2 linked regions of the Struthio camelus genome follow. The protein of the gene in region 2 interacts with the protein of the main gene of each other region in a biochemical or structural test. Links are inferred from orthologs where the notes say so. Each region holds a gene or a part of one and is shown on either strand. Other genes may lie near its edges.

Region 1 (9,196 bases), on a different chromosome or scaffold from region 2:
TGAAGGTGTTGCGCCGACCCACGGTGCGGTCCAGCTGGGCGCTCACCCCGAAGTCCACTGCAGGGCGGGGGAGGGTGACACAGTGCACTGGGAGCACTGGGAGGGGGTGTGGCAGCCCTTGGGGCATTGAGGGGGGGTGCTGGGGGCACTGGGAAGGGATTGGAGAGCTGCTGGGGGAGCCACTGGGGGCACAGGAAGGAGACTGGAGAAGGTGTTGGGGGGCACTAGGAGGAGAATGGGGGCACTGGGTGTCCAAGAGGATGTTTAGAGCCCACTGGGAGGGACTGGGAGCACTGGGGGGGGGGGGTGTCAGGGCTTCCCAGGGTCCAAACTGGAAGGCTGTGTTAGCAGCACTGGGAGCCCTATCCAGGAGAGCATACTGGGAGTGCTAGAAACTCAAACTGGGAGCCCATGCTGGTAGTCCATACTGGGAACACTGGGAGCTGCAATGGGAGCATTAGGGGCCTACCCTGGGAGCCCATACTAGGGGCACTAGGAGCCCAAATTGGGAGTGCTGGAAACCCAAACTGGGATCACCAGGAGCCTGCGCTGGAAGCCATACTGGGATCACTGGGAGCCCGTACTGGTAGCTCGCACAGGAAGTGCTGGCTGGCCATACTTGGAGCGCTGGGAGCACTGGGAGACCATACTGGGAGCACCTACCCAGCTTGACTTCGGCGTTCTCAGTGAGCAGCACGTTCTGGCCCTTGATGTCACGGTGAATCACCTTGTGCGCGTGGAGGTGGGCCAGGCCCTGCACACGCCACACACACGCGTGAGACGGATGCATGCCACACACATGGCACACGCCAGGCCCGGCACACGCCACGCACACGCGTGAGATGGGCACATATCATGCACACAGCACACACCAGGCCCTGCACACACCACGCACACGTGTAAGACGGGCGCATGCCATGCACATGGCACGCATCAGGTCCTGAATACACCACGCGCACGTGTGAGGCAGGCACACACCATACACACGGCACATACCAGGCCCTGCACACACCACACGCAAGTGCAAAGCGAGCACACGCACACGGCCCACACGCAGCATGTGCCAGGCCCTGCACACACCATATGTATGGGATGTGCAGGACGCGGCACACGCGTGACACTCACCCGCAGGATCTCGCGGCACACGTATGCGATGCAGTCCTCCTTCAGCGCGTTGCCCTTCGTGTTCTTCACCAGGTCCGTGACAGATCCGGCACCGCAGAACTCCATCACCAGCTGGGGGCGGGGGGTTAGCGCTGCCCCCCTGATCCACTCCTGGCCCCCTGGATCCTCCTCAGCTCCATGGATTGCCCTGATGCCCCTTCTCCTCCATGGATCCCTCCTTGATCCCTCTTGGATCCTCCCCAGACCCACAAATTCCTCCCAGGTCCCCCCTGGATCCCCCCTGGACCTCCAGATCCCCCCCAAAGCCCTAGACTGCCCCCAGATCCCCCCCAGACCCCCAAATCTGCCCTAATCCACCCTCAGCCCCCCCCACATCCTTCCCAGATCGCTCCGGGATCCCCTCTCGGATTCCCCCCCCGGATCCGGTGGGACTCACCCAGAGCTGGTCATCATTGCCGGGGGGGCTCTTCTTGACGAAGGCCCCGTAGTAGGTGGCGATGTTGCGGTGGTGCGAATACTTCTTCAGCATGTTGATCTCCTGCTTGATCTCCTCTTCCTCGTCCTAGCCGCAGGGGCAGAAAAGCACTAGGGTCACGTGTGTGTCCCCCACCCCACATCACACATGTCCCTCCAGCATCACGTGTGTCCCCCCCACCCCGCTCACCTCTGTCACATCCATGACCTTGATGGCAGCCAGCTGCCCCGTCTTCACGTGCCGGCCCTGGGGGACGCGGAGGGGGCGTGAGGAGGGGACCCCGGCGTCCAGGTGCCGCACAGCGTCCCCCCCTCCTGCCCTTAGGACTGGAGCAGGGGCCCAGGCGACCGGGCTGTCCTACTTGGACCATCCCAGCATGTTGCGTGTGCGGGGGGGAGCACGCGCAGGCGTGACACGCGTCCGCAATGCCTCACCTTATAGACCTGCCCATATGTCCCGTTGCCGACGACTTCCACCAGCTCAAAGATGCCGGCAGGATCCTGGAGGGGGACATGAGGGTGACGGAGGGGATCTGGGGGGAGCCCGAGCATCCAGCCCCCCCCCCGCTCCAGCAAGTATAAATAACCCACCGAAACGCGGTCAGCACGTCCTGCTGTCCCAGGCGCCCGCTGGGAGCTGCCAAGCGGGTTACAGCGCCCCGGCGCATCAAGGACGGCTGGGAAGCAGGGCAGGGCGCAGGGGAGCGCCCGCCCGTGCCCCCATGAGACCAAACCCGCCCTTTTCAGCCCCAAAATGCCTGCCTGCCTGCCTGCGCCTAGGCCCTGGACATGGAGTCAGGTGCCGCCGCGGGGGTAAATCCTGCAAATTCGGGATCACGAGGCGCCGCTTCATGGGTAATCGCCTTGCCTGCTAATCTCCTCCTGTAAGGCTTTCTTCCCTTCCCCCTCCCCCCCCCCGCCAACACGTGGTTTTTGGGCCCAAACGTAGCAAGTTTGGGCAAATCGGCTGCTCAGGGCGCCTTTTGGCGCCCTGCACAGGGGAACGGCGCCACGGCCGCTCTGATTTCTGCTGACGGAAGCGGGGCTCGGCACAGCCCCAGCCCGATGGGACGGGATGCCGTGGCAGCTCCTGTCGAAATTATAAATAATAAACGAGCGTCGCAGAAATGAGGGAGCCCCAGAGCTGAGTGGGAGCGGGGTGATCCTTGGTGGGGAGCGGGACCTCCCCAGCACGTGACCCATTTCTAGCCTGGGTCAAGGGTAGAGCCCCCCCTTCACCCTGGGGGCCCCCTCGGGCAAAGCCCCCCCCTTATCCCAGCTCGGGGGGAGGCTGGTGCTTTCCCAGGGGGGCTCCCCCTGCCCCCCGGTGGGTTGGGGGGTGCTGCGGGGGGGGGTAGCCCCCAGGTCCCAGCCATGGGGGTGGTTGAGGAGGCCCTGCAAGGTGGGAGCATGGTGGGGGGCTCTGGGGGGCCTGAGGAGGAATGAAGCCTCTAACCAGCCCAAGAGGACTACTGGGGGGCACTGGGGGATACTGGGGGGGGCTGTCTCCAGAGGGCAGCAAGTCTTTCTAATTAACCAGTAAAAGGCTAAGGGGCACTGGGGGTACTGGGGGCACTGGGGGAGGCCGGGGGGCTCTCCAGAGGGCAGCAGGTCTTTCTGGCTCGCCAGTGAGAGGCCGGCGGGTACTGGGGGGCACTGGGGGATACTGGGGGCACTGGGGGAGGCCGGGGGGCTCTCCAGAGGGCAGCAGGTCTTTCTGGCTCGCCAGTGAGAGGCCGGCAGGTACTGGGGGGCACTGGGGGATACTGGGGGCACTGGGGGAGGCCGGGGAGCTCTCCAGAGGGCAGCAGGTCTTTCTGGCTCGCCAGTGAGAGGCCGGCGGGTACTGGGGGGCACTGGGGGATACTGGGGAGTGCTGGGAGAGGCCGGGGGGCTCTCCAGAGGGCAGCAGGTCTTTCTGGCTCGCCAGTGAGAGGCCGGCGGGTACTGGGGGGCACTGGGGGATACTGGGGGAGGCCGGGGGGCTCTCCAGAGGGCAGCAGGTCTTTCTGGCTCGCCAGTGAGAGGCCGGCGGGAACTGGGGGGCACTGGGGGATACTGGGGGCACTGGGGGAGGCCGGGGGGCTCTCCAGAGGGCAGCAGGTCTTTCTGGCTCGCCAGTGAGAGGCCGGCGGGAACTGGGGGGCACTGGGGGATACTGGGGGCACTGGGGGAGGCCGGGGGGCTCTCCAGAGGGCAGCAGGTCTTTCTGGCTCGCCAGTGAGAGGCCGGCGGGAACTGGGGGGCACTGGGGGATACTGGGGGCACTGGGGGAGGCCGGGGAGTCTCCCAGGGTGAAAGCCCACCAACCCCGGTAAGGGGGGGGGCCCTGTGGTGACCTTTGCCCCCCCGTTCCCGCGCCCCCACGCCCTTTGACCCCGGCCGCCCTCCCACCCGCCGCCCTTTGACCCCGCTCACCCGGAGGGAGGAAAGGTCGATGTCGTCGAGGCTGCGGGCGGGGGCGGGGTCCGCCATGGCGGCGGGGGCAGGAGGGAGGAAAGGGGAAGAAGGGGCGGGGGGGAGAGCCGGGGCGGGGGGTCAGCGGGGCCCCATGGGGACGGGACGGGACGGGACGGGACCGGGCGGCCCCGCTCCGGCCGCGGCTCCGCCACCGACTGACAGCGCCCGCGCCGCCACCCAGCGCACTGCGCAGGCGCGCGGGGGGAGGCGGCGCAGCGCGCAGGCGCGCCGGAGGGGCGGGGCGGTGCCGCGCAGGCGCGTTGCGAAGTGGGGGGGAGGCGCGCGCCTGCCCGAGGCGCGAGGGCGCGGCCGGTCCCGCCCTTTCCACCCTCCTCCGCCGCGTGTGGAGACGGTGACATCACGGGGGAGCGGCTGAGAGGATGGGGGAGGGGCGGGGAAGGGACCCCGGCGTCCGGGACAGGGGACCCCGAGGTCCGGGGGTCGGTGGTGAGGGGCCCCCCCGTTCCTGAGGGGAAAAGGGGCAGGAAAGGGACCCCGGCGTCCGGGACAGGGGACCCCGAGGTCCGGGGGGTCAGTGGTGAGGGGCCCCCCCGTTCCTGAGGGGAAAAGGGGCAGGAAAGGGACCCCGAGGTCCGGGGGTCGGTGGTGAGGGGCCCCCCCGTTCCTGAGGGGAAAAGGGGCGGGAAAGGGACCCCGGTGTCCGGGACAGGGGACCCCAAGGTCCGGGGAGTCGGTGGTGAGGGGCCCCCCCGTTCCTGAGGGGAAAAGGGGCAGGAAAGGGACCCCGGTGTCCGGGACAGGGGACCCCAAGGTCCGGGGAGTCGGTGGTGAGGGGCCCCCCCCGTTCCTGAGGGGAAAAGGGGCAGGAAAGGGACCCCGGCGTCCGGGACAGGGGACCCCAAGGTCCGGGGAGTCGGTGGTGAGGGGCCCCCCCGTTCCTGAGGGGAAAAGGGGCAGGAAAGGGACCCCGGCGTCCGGGACAGGGGACCCCAAGGTCCGGGGAGTCGGTGGTGAGGGGCCCCCCCGTTCCTGAGGGGAAAAGGGGCAGGAAAGGGACCCCGGCGTCCGGGACAAGATGGTGAAGGAGAACCCCCAAGTCTGGGAGGGCAGGGGGGCTCTGAGGGCCTGGGGGGTGGTGAAGGGGAACCCCCGTACCTGAGAGGGGAGGGCAGGGGGACCCAGGTATCTGGGGGGTGAAGGGGCACCCCAATTCCTGAAGAGGGGAAAGGCTTAGGGGGGACCCAGGTTGGGGAGAGGGAAGGGGCACCCCCATATTAGGGAGGAAAAAGGGGACAGAGGGCATCTGTGGGAGAGAACTAAGACACTGAAGGGGAACCCCAATATCTGGTGGGAAGGAAGCAGCACAAGGACCAAGGTGGCCGGAGTGCGACAGGGGACCCCATCAAGGGGAGGAAAGGGCAGGGAGGCCCCAAAACTTAGAGGACACTGGTGACCAAAGGGAAGGGGTGCCGCTTAGGGGACCCAGGAGCCCGGGACGGGGTCCCGGCGTGGCGCACAGAGCAGAGGCAGGGTGCGTGGGTGTCGTTTATTGCCCTGCTCAGCAGCACCACCGTCAAGCTGGGGCTATTTATTGCCCCCCCGCTTCCCGCCCTTCTCCCACACTGGACCGTTAACTGTCCCCTCAGGCCGGGGGGCCCCCGTCGCCCCCAGGCAGGTCGGGGCCGGCCAGGACGCGGCGCTCGACCCCCCGCTCCGTCACTGCCGCCAGCCGGATCACGCCACCGCTCGAGCCGTCCCGTGCCATGGCCAGTGCCAGCGCTGCAGCAAGAAGATGGTGGGTAAGGCTTGGACTCTGCCTTAAGGTCGCTGCCCTGCTCCCCTACAACCTGCCCGGACTCCTGGGTCGCTGCCCTGCTTCCCTCCCTTCCATAAACCTGCCTGCTGCTTCCTACATCCCCCCACAGCTTCCCCGGATGCCTGGGTCCCCTTGTCCCCATTCCCCCGCTGCCCATCCTGTCACCCACCCGCTGGACGCCTGGGGCCCCATGTCTTCGTCCTCCCCATCCATCCCATTCCCCCCTCCTGGGTCCCCCCCACCCATCCATCCTGGACGCCTGGGCCCCCACCGCGGGCAGCAAAGTCCTCGCACTCGGCCTGGCTCATGCCGGGACGGAAGGAGGCGTCGACGAAGCCGTAGACGTAGGAGCTGCCGGAGCCACCCACGGAGAAGGGCTGGCGGACGAGGAGCCCCCCCATGGGCACTGCGTACACCTGGGGAGCACACGGGGGTCAGGGAGGGTGGGGGGGGGCACCACGGGCACCTGAGGTGCACACGGGGGTCAGGGAGGCTGTGGGGGGGCACCACGGGTAGCTGGGGGGGCACACAGGGGTCGAGGGGGCTGTGGGGGGCACTGCAGGCACCTGGGGGGTGCACGGAGGTCAGGGGGGCTGTGGGGGGACACCACGGGCAGCTGGGGGGGGACACTGGGGGCAGGGAGCCATAGGGGGGCACTGCAGGCACCTTGGGGGGAGCATGGGGGTCAGGGGGCTGTGGGGGGGGCACTGCAGGCACCTGGGGGTCACATGGGGGTCAGGGGGGCCATGGGGGGGCACCACAGGCACCTGGGGAGGGACACTGGGGGCAGGGGGACCATGGCGGGGCATTGTGGGTACCTAGGAGGGGCAAAGGGGGCACCTGGGGGGTGATGGGGGGCAGGGGGACCAGGGGGCGATATGGGGGCATGCAGAGGGCTCAGGGGGGCGATGTGGGGGGTGGAGGGGCCAGGAAGACAGTGTGGGGGCACCTGGGGGTCAGGGGAGCTGTGTGGGGGGCAGGGAAACACCACACATGCATGGGTGCAGGGGTGGGGGGGAATATGGGGGGCTAGAGGCATCGTGGGGGGCAGCAGGGTCTCAGTGGGCTGGGAGGTGCCTGTGGGGCAAGGGACACGTGGGGGGGGGAGGGGACGCCTGCCTGTGGTGACCCCGATCCCAGCAGGCCCCGGGGACGCCGCGAGGGATGGAGGGCTGGTGCGGGGCAGCCACCGTGACTGTGGGGCGCGGGGGGGCCGTGGGGCTGCGGCCGTGGGGCTCACCTGCCCGCCGCGGCGGCGGTCCCAGCCGGCGACGATGATGCCGGCGGTGAGCTCCTCGCGGTAGCGGTAGCAGGTCTGCTGGAAGAGGCTGGCGGCCGTGTGCACCAGGGGCGGCTCGTCCAGCTCGATGCTGGGGGGCACCGGGGGTCAGACCCGCAGCGGGGACCCCCCGCGCCCCACGGCATCGCCCCGCCCCACGGCGTCGCCCCCACACCTGTGGAAGGCCAGCTGGTAGGCCACGGCATCGGCCACGGCCTGGGTGTCGGCGGCGGAGCCCGAGCGGCAGCAGAAGATGCGGTCGTGGATCGGCGTCAGCTTGTCCGTCACCCGGTTGGCGATGTAGGACCTGCAGCCCCAGCGGCGCCACGGTGACACCGCCGTGGCGACCACCCCAGCAACGGTGAGGACCCTGGAGACAGCTGCCCCCCCCCGTGACAGCTCCAAGGCTGGGGACACCTAGCGATGACCCTGCTGTCGGGGTTCCCCTGGTGACTATCCCGGGCAACCTGGAGCACCAGCAGCGCCCCGGTGACCGGGGGGCCCCAGCAGCGCCCGGCCGCCCGGAGCCCCCAGCAGCGCCCGGAGCCGCGCTCACCCCGTGGTGGTCCGCGAGTCGGCCCCGATGACGACGCCTCCGTCGAACTCCACGGCCATGATGGTGGTCTGCGGGGCGGCAGGGTCAGGCCCCGCCGCGGGGCTGCCCCCAGCCCCGCTGCCCCAGCCCGCCGCGCCCCATGGCGCCCCATGGCGCCCCCTCCTGCCCCGCAGCCCCTCCGGCCCCGCTCACGCCGGTGCTGACGGCCTCCGCGGTCCAGTCCCGGTGCAGAGCCGCGGGCCCCGGCCCGGCCCAGGGCCCCATCGCGCCCGCCTGCACCGTCACCGCCGCCATCTTCCCGTCGCGCTTGGCGACGCGGCCGTGCCACGCGCTTTCGCGACATCCCGGCCGGCCCCGCTGGGCGCCCTCTCCGCGCGCTGCTTTACGGCAGAGTGGCACCGCGCTTTCGCGACGTCGCTGCCGGCCGCTCTTGGCCGCAGTGTGGCAGCCGGCCAAGCCCCTCTTCAAGAGTTTCTGACGTCATCACTGCAGCGTGTGACCTCCCGTGAAAAGCTCGGGAGCAGTACCTAGTGTTGCACACCAGGGCGGGTGCTATGGCGTCACCATAATCCATCACAATGATGTCATGAGGTTTAGGAAGCAGCAGCAGTACTGCGTATGACATCGCTGCAGCATGTGACATCATCGCATCACCCTGGTGACTCCCAGCCCCAACCCTGCGCTCCCAAATCACCTCTGTTGTGCAGTGTGACATCACCCAACATGGACAGCGCAGCAACTGTGATGTCATCACCACCAGTGACATAACCCCAGCACCAGGGCAGGCCCCGCCTCCATGGCTCCTCCCACACAAAGGGGTGGAGACACAGCTGTCAATCAAGTGCTTTATTGCCCCAGCTCCTGCCTGGGTTGTTGGGGGGGGGGGGGGGGTCTCAATTATGGGGGGGGTCCCGGACACCTGGGTTCCTGGGGACCGGGGGAACACCCGGACACCTGGGTCCCTGGGGGGAGGGTCCCCCGGACGCCTGGGTTCCTTGGTCCGGACGAGGGTGGCTCAGGTCGGGGGGGGCCGCAGGCAAGGGGGCTGCGACCCCCCCCACCCCCCAGCTCTGGGGCCTCACGGTGGCTCTGGAGGGGGGAAGGGGCAGAGATGAGTGGGGTTTCCCCAGGGGCCCAGGCGTCCAGGTGCGTCCCCCTGTGGGGATCTAGTCATCTGGGAGCCCCCCCCACCTGCCGGGGCCCAGGCATCCAGCACTCACAGGGGGCGTGGGGCGGCGGAAGACGGTGGTGAGGGCGGCGGGGCGCCGCGTGGGGCGCAAGGCTGGGGGCGCCCGCAGCTCGGCCAGCAGCTGCTGCCCCCAGGGCGATGGGCGGCACATGTGGAAACAGGGGGGGTCCGGGGGGGCGTCAGGGGCTGCCAGTGCCCCATGACCCCCCCGAACCCCAAAGCCCCATGGAACTCCCCCACCCCCCAACAGCCTCCTAGGCCCCTCCAGGCCCCCACTAACCACCTCTGATCCCCAATAACCACCCAGGACCCTCCCAGGCACCCCAAGACCCCCTC
Region 2 (9,057 bases):
AATCCACATGCAAATTATATGAATAAAATAAACACGCTACCCATAAATGAGTGAAACTTGAGCGCTTAGAAGGACAGTACATAAATAAGGAGGGAGAAAAAGGAACACAAGGTATAGCAACCTAACCCCCTTCTCCTTGGCCAATCACTTAAGAAATAATTCAGTTTCTCTAATGGAATTCCCTAAATCTCAAGTGCTGGGACTGCACCCACAAGCTTTCTTTGACCTGTGGTAAGCCTGAAACTTTAAAAGAATGTCATTTTATAGTGATATTAGAACTTTTTCTGCTGTCCAGTAACACATTTCTTTAATGTTCACTGACTAAGGAAAAGACCATCAGGCACCTAAGTGAGATTTAGTAATAAGCAGTGGAGTTTTGCTCAAAGGAGTAACTAGTCTAGACGCTGCAGAAAGCATGCCATGAGATAAATTAAAATGTAATTTAACCCTGGCCACTTTCAAGAGCACTTAAACACATGCAAAATTTAAAACAACATGGACAATATTTGGTTAAAAACATTTTTCCCCAAAGAAAAGGGAGGAAAGAAAGCTTTGTTTAGAACATTTCACTGGAATTTAGCTTTGCTAGGGAAGTTTCCTTTCTTTTCAAGGCATCTGTTTTGAAAAACACATGTGTTGAGTACACAAAAGTGTGTGAGTATACATACTAATAACACTGAAAAGAATTACCACCCCCAGAGAAGCAAAACATTATCATAAGTTCACCCCACAGCACATAACAATAAGGCTGAATAGCTTAGAGGCTTAGTGATTTAGATTACTTGTTCAAATTCAGTCAAAATTAGGACTAATCACTAGCTCACCACTGGCAGGTAATCTAGATAAAATAGTTAGTATCCATCCTGTGTCAGACAAGTATCAAATGAGAGTAGTAAAAAAAATGTCCATATGTAAGTTCTTTCTCTTAACACTTTCCACAGGACTTTAATCCAAGAGAAAACACTTGTTTTTCACCTATATGTTTTAACCATAATTTTATTTGGTGTTTCACCAAATTCACTTTACAATCACCCTGCAGGTAGCTGAGATAAACAAATATAACACCCACAGGAGAACTCCAGGTCAAATTAAGATGATACTTAATCTGTAAATCAGGAGACCTAGAGTCTACCACCAATTCAATCATATGGCCTAGGGGGGAAAAAAAAAAAAAATCACCTTGTACACTGACTTCTTTATGTAAAAAAAAAAAAAAAAAAAAGAGATAATTATATTTCTTTTTAAAATGCTTTGAGAATTTTAATACAAGGGATGTTTTAAGTATGTGGTAACTATTATTTGGTTGGCAACTGCAGCATACAGTATATGGACTGACCAGCCTTAGAAAATAAAGTCATCCTTTCACATAAGTTTTTAGCAGAAGCAGGGGTTTATACCAGTGTAAAACAGCCAGTCCACTTATTCCGTGCCAGCATTAAGTAGTTTGTAAGGCCACATAGAGTGAATCAAGCCAGGGAACCTATCCAGATAAAAAGTAATTTTTTTTCCTAGGGGTTTATTTCTTTCAGCAGCAGTATTGGCTAACAATTTCATGGGTCTGTGAAACTACAGTCTTAATTGCTCAGAAACCCAATTAAAACAGTCCTCCACTGTAATGAAGTACAAAGCGGCAAGTATTATTGACCATAGCTCACCTTGCTTTGGAGGACTTCAAAATTCAGGGACCGTGAAGTCATCTCCTCTTACAGACATTTACACACATTTTAAAACAATAAAGTTTTGACCAGATCAGTAAGTAACCTTTCTCAATCATGTATATCTAACTAGCAAACACTAACTGAACCTGAGGGAACGGCCGTGTATTCTCCCTTGCAGTTCTGTATGGTTAAATGCCCTTGATGCATCTGTTTGTTAATGCAAATACTTCCACTGGTGACATTCTCCATTTCCCTAAAGCAGTTAAATCATTTTTTCTTCCTTTTCAAAACATAAGGATAAACTATTTTCTTCTACAGGTCAAACTGTAAGGAGAAAAAAAACAGTCTGTTTAGAGTGTACCACAAAAGACTGGACAATAAAAAATAGGCGTTTGAATGAAAACACTTAACGGTTTCAGAAGGCGACAGTAACACGCAACTGCTCTGTCAATGCCTTTTAAGCATTTCTGGGAAGGAAAATATACAGCTTTTTAGTAGCTTTGTAACATTTAATATTAAAAAATTTTGAACATACATTTAAATACTACACAGTGCTCAATATTCAGCTGAAAGTAAAAACAATCTATTTTGATTTCCTCTCCCATATCCCTATTCTATTAACTTAGCTTACACAGGATCTCAATCAACTCTTTCTTTTTAGAAAAGATTTAAAACAAGAACTTGGGAGGCATCAGATTAACTTTGTAGGGGCTTGGCTTGAATCAAAGGAAGCAGTTCTTTGGGTAACAGGTGGTTGGGCTGAAAAGCTCTTTTGTCAAACGATGTTTTCAGCACTAAAAATTTACATAGGATGAGCAGAAAACCGGGCACGGAAAATTTGTAAATAATTATGACTACATACATTCAAGGAAGACTCTGAGTTGAAAGTGACTGGAGGCTAGCTGAACACAAGGAGCGCTGTACGCTTGCTTCTGCTGCTCCTTTCCATTCTCGTACTCTGCTATCTCCTTTTAATAGGATATAGCTCTTATGTACAAACGCATTCTCAGTTCTTATTATTGCTTATTTCTTGAGCACGTAAGAGTAATCTTCATTGCTACCGACAGGGCAGCCATTTAAAACCAAAGCGTAAGTAGCGTTGGCACAGACAGGTACTAAGGTAATTCTAATAGCACAGAAGGATCCAACATGTCAAGGACCACCCAGAGTAGAAGTACAACACTGGCGTGAGAATTTTCAGGATATAACAGTCATGAGTATCTCAAGTCTATCCACTGTGTTAATTGCATTTTTGTTGCACAGCAAGTACGAGACCACGACCCGAGGTAAAGCAGAGATGCACGTGCTACCGTATACGTCCATCTGGAAGAAACGTTTGAATCCGGTCTGCTGAAGTGCGGCTTTCCTCCGAACCTTCAGCGTTCCCCGGGGGAGATAAGGGGGAACTAACACCATCAAGCACCACCACTGCAGCGGCGAAACCCTCGTGAGGCGGCGGCACCGCGGCCCAACCGGCGGCCGCCGGCCCGCCGCCGCCACCACCACCACCCCAGCCGCAGCCGCGGGGCCCGGGCGGCGCGGACACCGCCTCGCCTCCGCGGAGGAGCCGCTCCTCGGTGACCGCGAAGCCGCTTTCAGACGCACAACCCCCGGCCCGGGCGGCGGGAGGCAACGCCGCCTACCTCCGGCCGCGTCCCGCTCGCTGCCGGCAGGGAGCAAGGGGCCCGGGCTCTGCCGCTCCGCCGCCGCCGCCGCCGCCGCCGCGGCAGGAGGGGCCCGGGAAGGGCCCGTTATGGCCCCCACGCCCTGGCCGAGCCGCTCTCGAGCCCCGCCAGCGCCCTCTCCTCGCCGCCGCGGCACGCCGGACCTACCTGCAGCGAAAAGGCAGCGGCGGCGGTAGCAGCAGCAGCGCCCCGGGCCCGGGCGTGTGCGTAGGGCGCTCGGCCACGCCCCTGCGACGACGGCAACGACCTCCGCGGCCCTCAACGCCGCCGGCAGCGGCTCCTCGGTCGCTCCGCCAGCGCCCCCCCCTCCCGCCACCGCCGCCACGGGTCCCTCAGTTCGGCGCCGCCATTTTGTCGGTGCCTCCGCCGCGGAAGGTTTCCCGGATATAGGCAGCTCCCAGCCTCCTTTGCGCCCCCCCCCCCCCCAACCCGGTATGGAATGCAGCGGCCGGCGCGGCCCAGCCGCGAGCGCCCCACGCGGGCAGGGCGGTGCGTCCCCCCCCCCCCCCCCCCGCCATGGTAAACGGCCGTTTGCCCCCTCCCCCGCCCGGCGCCACTACCTTGTAGCGGTAACGGGAGCTGCTCCACACGGAGCCCCCCGCAAGGGGGAAAGAGGTTTCAGGCATCGCTTTTTTTTTTTTTTTCCTCTCCTCCTTTTAATGGCACAAAAACCTCGTCAACCTGGAGCCTCGTCAAGCGCTAGGAGTCTAGTGAAGCTGAGCTCAAAACCCGGTTAATCACCACAGCTGAGCTCGCATGGTATTATCGACTGCAATAGATGCTCACCACGGCTGCGAGCATGCTGATCAATAAACTTCGGTTTTCCAAGGGGAAAGATCGCCGACACGACTGAATAAAAGACTTCTTACAGACCCCCATCTATAAGTTCCCCAAGAAGAATGATCACTTCCCTACTCAAGCAAAGTGTCCCATTTCAAACAAATAGGGAAATTTAAAAACTAAAATTTAAAACTAGTAAGCCTCCTAGCAACTCAAGTTCTTTTCTGAAGAATACCCCTTAACTAAGGTACAACCCACGTTCTTCAGCTAGACACACAGGAAATTCAAATCAGGCAAGTCATTGTGAGAAAAGATGAAGAACACTCTTCTCACCGCCTCGAGAGTGAAATACTCTAAAGCTGTTTCGCTGACGAGTGATTTTTAAAGCCTTATAACTCCATCTGCTGCTGCCCAGATCCTAAGATTTCCCTCAAAGTGCCAAATCCCATTCTCAAACCCAGTCCAGAGAGCTCTTAGGGTTATTTACCCTCCTGCAACAACAAACTAAAAAGCACATCTACTAAACTAATCTAGTAAGTCAGGCCAGTACTCTTGTGCAAAATACTTTATTAAAAAGAGAAAGGGTTCTCTGCAACAAAAGGTAGGTACAGCAGTCATCCTAAAATTAATTTTTCAAAGATTGCAAAACAAGACTAGATGGAAAACTGATAGCGTCAGTCATGGTCTTTGTCACAGATGGTCTTTGTCACAGATGTGTCTCCATCACATATTTTAAAACAGCCAACATGTCCATCACTTATGGCCACTGAGCTATAAAAACACTTTTCTGATGAGAGAGTTATAGGCACATTATCCAGATGGAGTTTTAACACGTTGTATCCGTGATGAAGTTGTAGTAATCCAAAATAATGCTACTAAAATGCTAAAAGTCTTATAGGACCTTTCATATTTTACAGCTTTTACAGGTTTCCTTTCCAGTTCTCATGCACCAGCGTAAAAAGCTATGCTTCCAAAAAATATATATATATAAAAATCTCAAATAAAAAGCAGTCTCTCTCAGCCGACATAAAAAGAACATCAAAGAACCTTATGATTTGGCCTTAACATGTGGAATGTCTCTACATATACATGAATAATCAGGGGTTTAGTTTTTCTTCACCTTGTGCATTATGGACATCAGCTAAGAACAAACATCTTGCACTTACAGCTAGCTTCCTGCTTGCCAAAATGAAGCAGGCAACGGGGAAGAAGTGAGATCAAGCTTACACAAAAGCTGGTTTAATTACCCATGGTAGAGCATGAATAATAAGGGGCAACTTTAAGAGTCTGAGGTAACTTGCATTCCTTTTGCAATAGCAGAACTAAGCTGTAGGCCTCTCTCCCACATGCTCATAACAGTTTAGTTGGAAACCCTCATGAACCTGATGCGTTTCCCAGTAGTTCAAGGTGATTCAGAGTGACACTGAAGTAGTTTCATGCAAAAAGGTGTCTGTTAACATAAATAGCCTCTGCATCAGTACCATACACTAGACATGGTCCTAAAATATCTAAACTGTTCACAGACAAAGTCTGATGTGGAATTAAGTTGGTAATCTCCATGCGGTCTTTGGTAGGATCGTTGCTTAGCCAGGCACTTACTACAGATTGGTTAACGGTATTGTGGGAAAAATATGTAGTACTTCTTCCTCCTGAAAGTGAGGGAAAGGGAAAAAAAATTAGTTCCAATTTAGTTTAGTCTCAGAATTTGGAGAAACATAGCAACTAAAGGAGAGACATAACGGGAAAAGCATTTTAAATTTAAATCAGTTTTCAGATTAGCTAAATGATGTACTAGTCTTCCTGGTAAACAACAACAAAATAGCTAAAAGCCAAGTACTTCAAATGTTTACAGAAGCCTGCTACCAGCTCTCTCCTCAGTTAAGAGGGCAAATAAGTCAGTACAACTAAGAACCCATCTCATTGAGCAAATAGTATGAGCAACTACAAGTTTTTCTAGCTGAAGACTAAAGCAATGGACCTATGAACCAAAGTCCACTTACGCAGTGGCCTTGCTATATTTGAGGCATCAGCTTTGCTGTAATAACATTTACTCCCCACTGTACCTTCTCTCTACCTAATCTGGAGAAAGTGATATACCTGGATTTGACTTCAAGCTTTTTCCACAAAAAAATTCAAATCCAAACTGAAGTTTTGCAGTTTGAGAACTATCAGCCAGTATAAAGCTTACAATGGTTTAAAATGGTGCACTTAAGGGGTTATGCAGTATACCTGAGAACATGCAGAGTGCGATTTGACTCTCAGTTATACTATTATTCCCCTGTACAGAACTCAACTTTGAATGGCAGCTTTGAGGCCAGAGGCAGAAGATATTTGAAAGTTCTCCACTTCCCCCACTTCAGAGTTTCCCCTCTGAAGTTGCAAGCAATTAAGCAGTCTGAGATTAGAAAGCAAAAAGGCATTTTTACATCAGTTTCATGTCTTTGAAATCCTACCATGACACAAAGGCATACAGTTTCACTCACTGACAATCTTCCACTTATGACTTGGAAAAACTGCCTAAAGATTAAATTCATAATTCCACTATCCCGTTAACTTATAAACTATATTGGTGTTACCGAATTTTATATATCTCCCTCTGAGATTCAGGTAGCAATGTGTCATTTAGGCCTCTTTCATGTCTGGTCCGCACGGATGTGATTTAAGTGAACTAAATTTATCCCTGAAATTCTTTATGCGCCCCTTCACACACTAGACAGAGCACAGTGAGGATAGATAAAAAACACTGCTTATCCCCGTAAGTACTTAGTTGTCCTAGAGTGCCTACCCGTGTCTAAGAAAAGAAGTTGGATTTTTGTTTTCTGTATTGAGTTAGTAATAGAGAATATAAGATCAAGTGCTTTACCTAAGTTGCCAGATGACAAATTCAATGCAAGCTGACTTCAAACATCCTTACCTTGATGAAGGAAAGATGGTTTTTCAGAAACGCTTGTGGACGTATCCCAGTGCCAAAGAGATCCGTCTTCAGAACATGTAAATAAGTGATCTGGGTTGGAGGGATGGAAGTGAACTTCCCACACTAGAAGTAACAAGAGAAGGAAAAAAAAACCCAAACACTAACAACAATAAAACACACATACTTATTGGCATGCAAACCATGCTCCTCGTGATTTCTACACTGCTGTGATACTAAAAGGGGTTTGATACCTCAATTACACAGGTTATTCAATCCAACAGCAAATATGTTTAGTTACTATAAAACTATGAGCCTACTTCAGGCTACTGAAACTACTGAAGTTTATTTATGACAGTATAAAGGTAACTTTTCAAGTATCAGCTAGGATGGCTTCTTTCAATGGGGACAGCTGTCAAGATACAAAGCCATCGTCTCACTTCCTGGTATTTCAAACACGCTCATTTATCCAGCTAAGTAGTGCAGTAGGTGCCTCACAAAGGCCACCAAGGTCCTGGTATTGCAAAGTACAGAATCTAAAACTGCAATTCATGCACATGTAAAAAGGAATCACACATATAACAGTAAAATAACGCTACTACAGGTATTTTAAAAACAAACAAACCACACTCTTGGCCATATGCAGAAAGAAGCTACATAGCCAATGCCTTCCAGTTACACTAAGGAAAAGGGAAGGAAGACAGACTAATCAGCTCCAGTGAGAGAAAAGAGCTTCTAATAAAGAAGAATACTGCTTTCTGTTGGAAGTTGAAACAGGTTTTCCTTACTTTTACGGATTAATGAATCTAGACCTCAGGCTCTGAAGAGGAAAAAAACCATTTCACAAACATCAAATACCCAGCTCTGCACTGTGGCTAGTAAGTACATTCTATATCATACAAGAATCCAGGCCTCACCAAAACCTTGCATTCTTAAGGGGTAGGGGGGAACTACCATCAGTTATTTGCTGCAATCTTCCCTCCCCTGAAAAAGCAGATCACTCATTTTGCTGTACTTTCAACACTGTGAGAGTTGTTAGAAGTTAAAAGCTTGTCTGAATTCAGACATTCTCAATAGCTTTCTCATGCTTTCTTCCCTACTATTAAGTTTAAAATTTGCACACATCAAGCATTCCTTCCCAGAACAGTCATTTTGTGTCTAAATACCACAATTGTCAAAACAGTTAAGTCAGTAAAAGTTCTTATCTCAAGAAACAATGTACTCCCTAAATATAACTCTAGTATTGAATCAATAAATTGCCAGAACAGAAAGAGTCGCTACCTTCTTGTTCATATAACGGTACCAGGAAAGTGAACTGTTTCAGCATGGTGGAGGCATGAAACGGAACTGTACTATCTTCAGTCTCCTTCCTCAACCTCACATTTTCAAGCTTGTCAGTAGCTGCATTCCTGCTTTACTATGCCAGAATACTACAGCATGAATTTTTGCACTGAGACTATTAATACACTATTAACACATCTATGCTCTAAAAACAAAACACATTCTGATTAAATGCATCTGATGACTCATTAAACTGCTTACTAATTTTAGCTCAAGAAGAACAAGAAGAATTGGCTTTTGGACGGCAACGGTCTCACAAACAGACAAACAATAAACCAAACCCAACTGGATGAAGACACATTAAGGAGCTATAACAAAAGATAACTCTGCTGTTCCTATAGTATTTAAATTTTGCCCAGCACTTAAGATCCAGATACTTACTTTCTGCTTCATGAGCATTTAGCAGGGACACTGGCATCGTACCCTGCCTGATGTCCCATATACTCAGCATCCCATCCTGGCCCCCTGTGGCCACAATGTGCTGCTGATTAGGATGCCTGTCCACACAGTGCAGTGGAACTCTGTCACCTGTCCTGACAGGAGAAGAAAGAAATAACGTCAACTCTCCATTCAGCCTGTATTTTCTCCTTCTTAATCCCTAGGGGTTTTGACCAGCAATATAACCATACCAACTGCAAGTTAAGTGCCTGTCTTATCTGGTCACTACAGATTGGAACCATGT

What was found.
Region 1: of the proteins of LATS1 (region 2) and MINK1, one has a biochemical effect on the other in vitro, tested with the Homo sapiens proteins (2 studies listed by BioGRID). The link is inferred for Struthio camelus from reciprocal best matches to the Homo sapiens genes LATS1 and MINK1.

What each region holds. Positions count from the first base shown.
Region 1 is NW_027182728.1:119,526-128,721, forward strand, and holds the start of MINK1 (misshapen-like kinase 1), read right to left. Parts: upstream 4,242-9,196; 5' UTR 4,075-4,241; coding exon 4,018-4,074; intron 2,102-4,017; exon of another isoform or gene 2,101-2,101; coding exon 2,035-2,100; intron 1,847-2,034; coding exon 1,790-1,846; intron 1,711-1,789; exon of another isoform or gene 1,688-1,710; coding exon 1,562-1,687; intron 1,237-1,561; coding exon 1,126-1,236; intron 755-1,125; coding exon 664-754; intron 58-663; coding exon 1-57. Other genes in the region: PSMB6 (proteasome subunit beta type-6), read right to left, coding at 5,663-5,799, 6,108-6,252, 7,077-7,206, 7,291-7,422, 7,672-7,739, 7,864-7,965. UniProt on the Homo sapiens protein: Serine/threonine kinase which acts as a negative regulator of Ras-related Rap2-mediated signal transduction to control neuronal structure and AMPA receptor trafficking.
Region 2 is NC_090944.1:82,014,439-82,023,495, reverse strand, and holds the start of LATS1 (serine/threonine-protein kinase LATS1), read right to left. Parts: upstream 3,755-9,057; 5' UTR 3,491-3,754; intron 1,884-3,490; exon of another isoform or gene 1,656-1,883; intron 1-1,655. Other genes in the region: nucleoporin Nup43, read right to left, coding at 5,558-5,772, 7,038-7,160, 8,757-8,908. UniProt on the Homo sapiens protein: Negative regulator of YAP1 in the Hippo signaling pathway that plays a pivotal role in organ size control and tumor suppression by restricting proliferation and promoting apoptosis.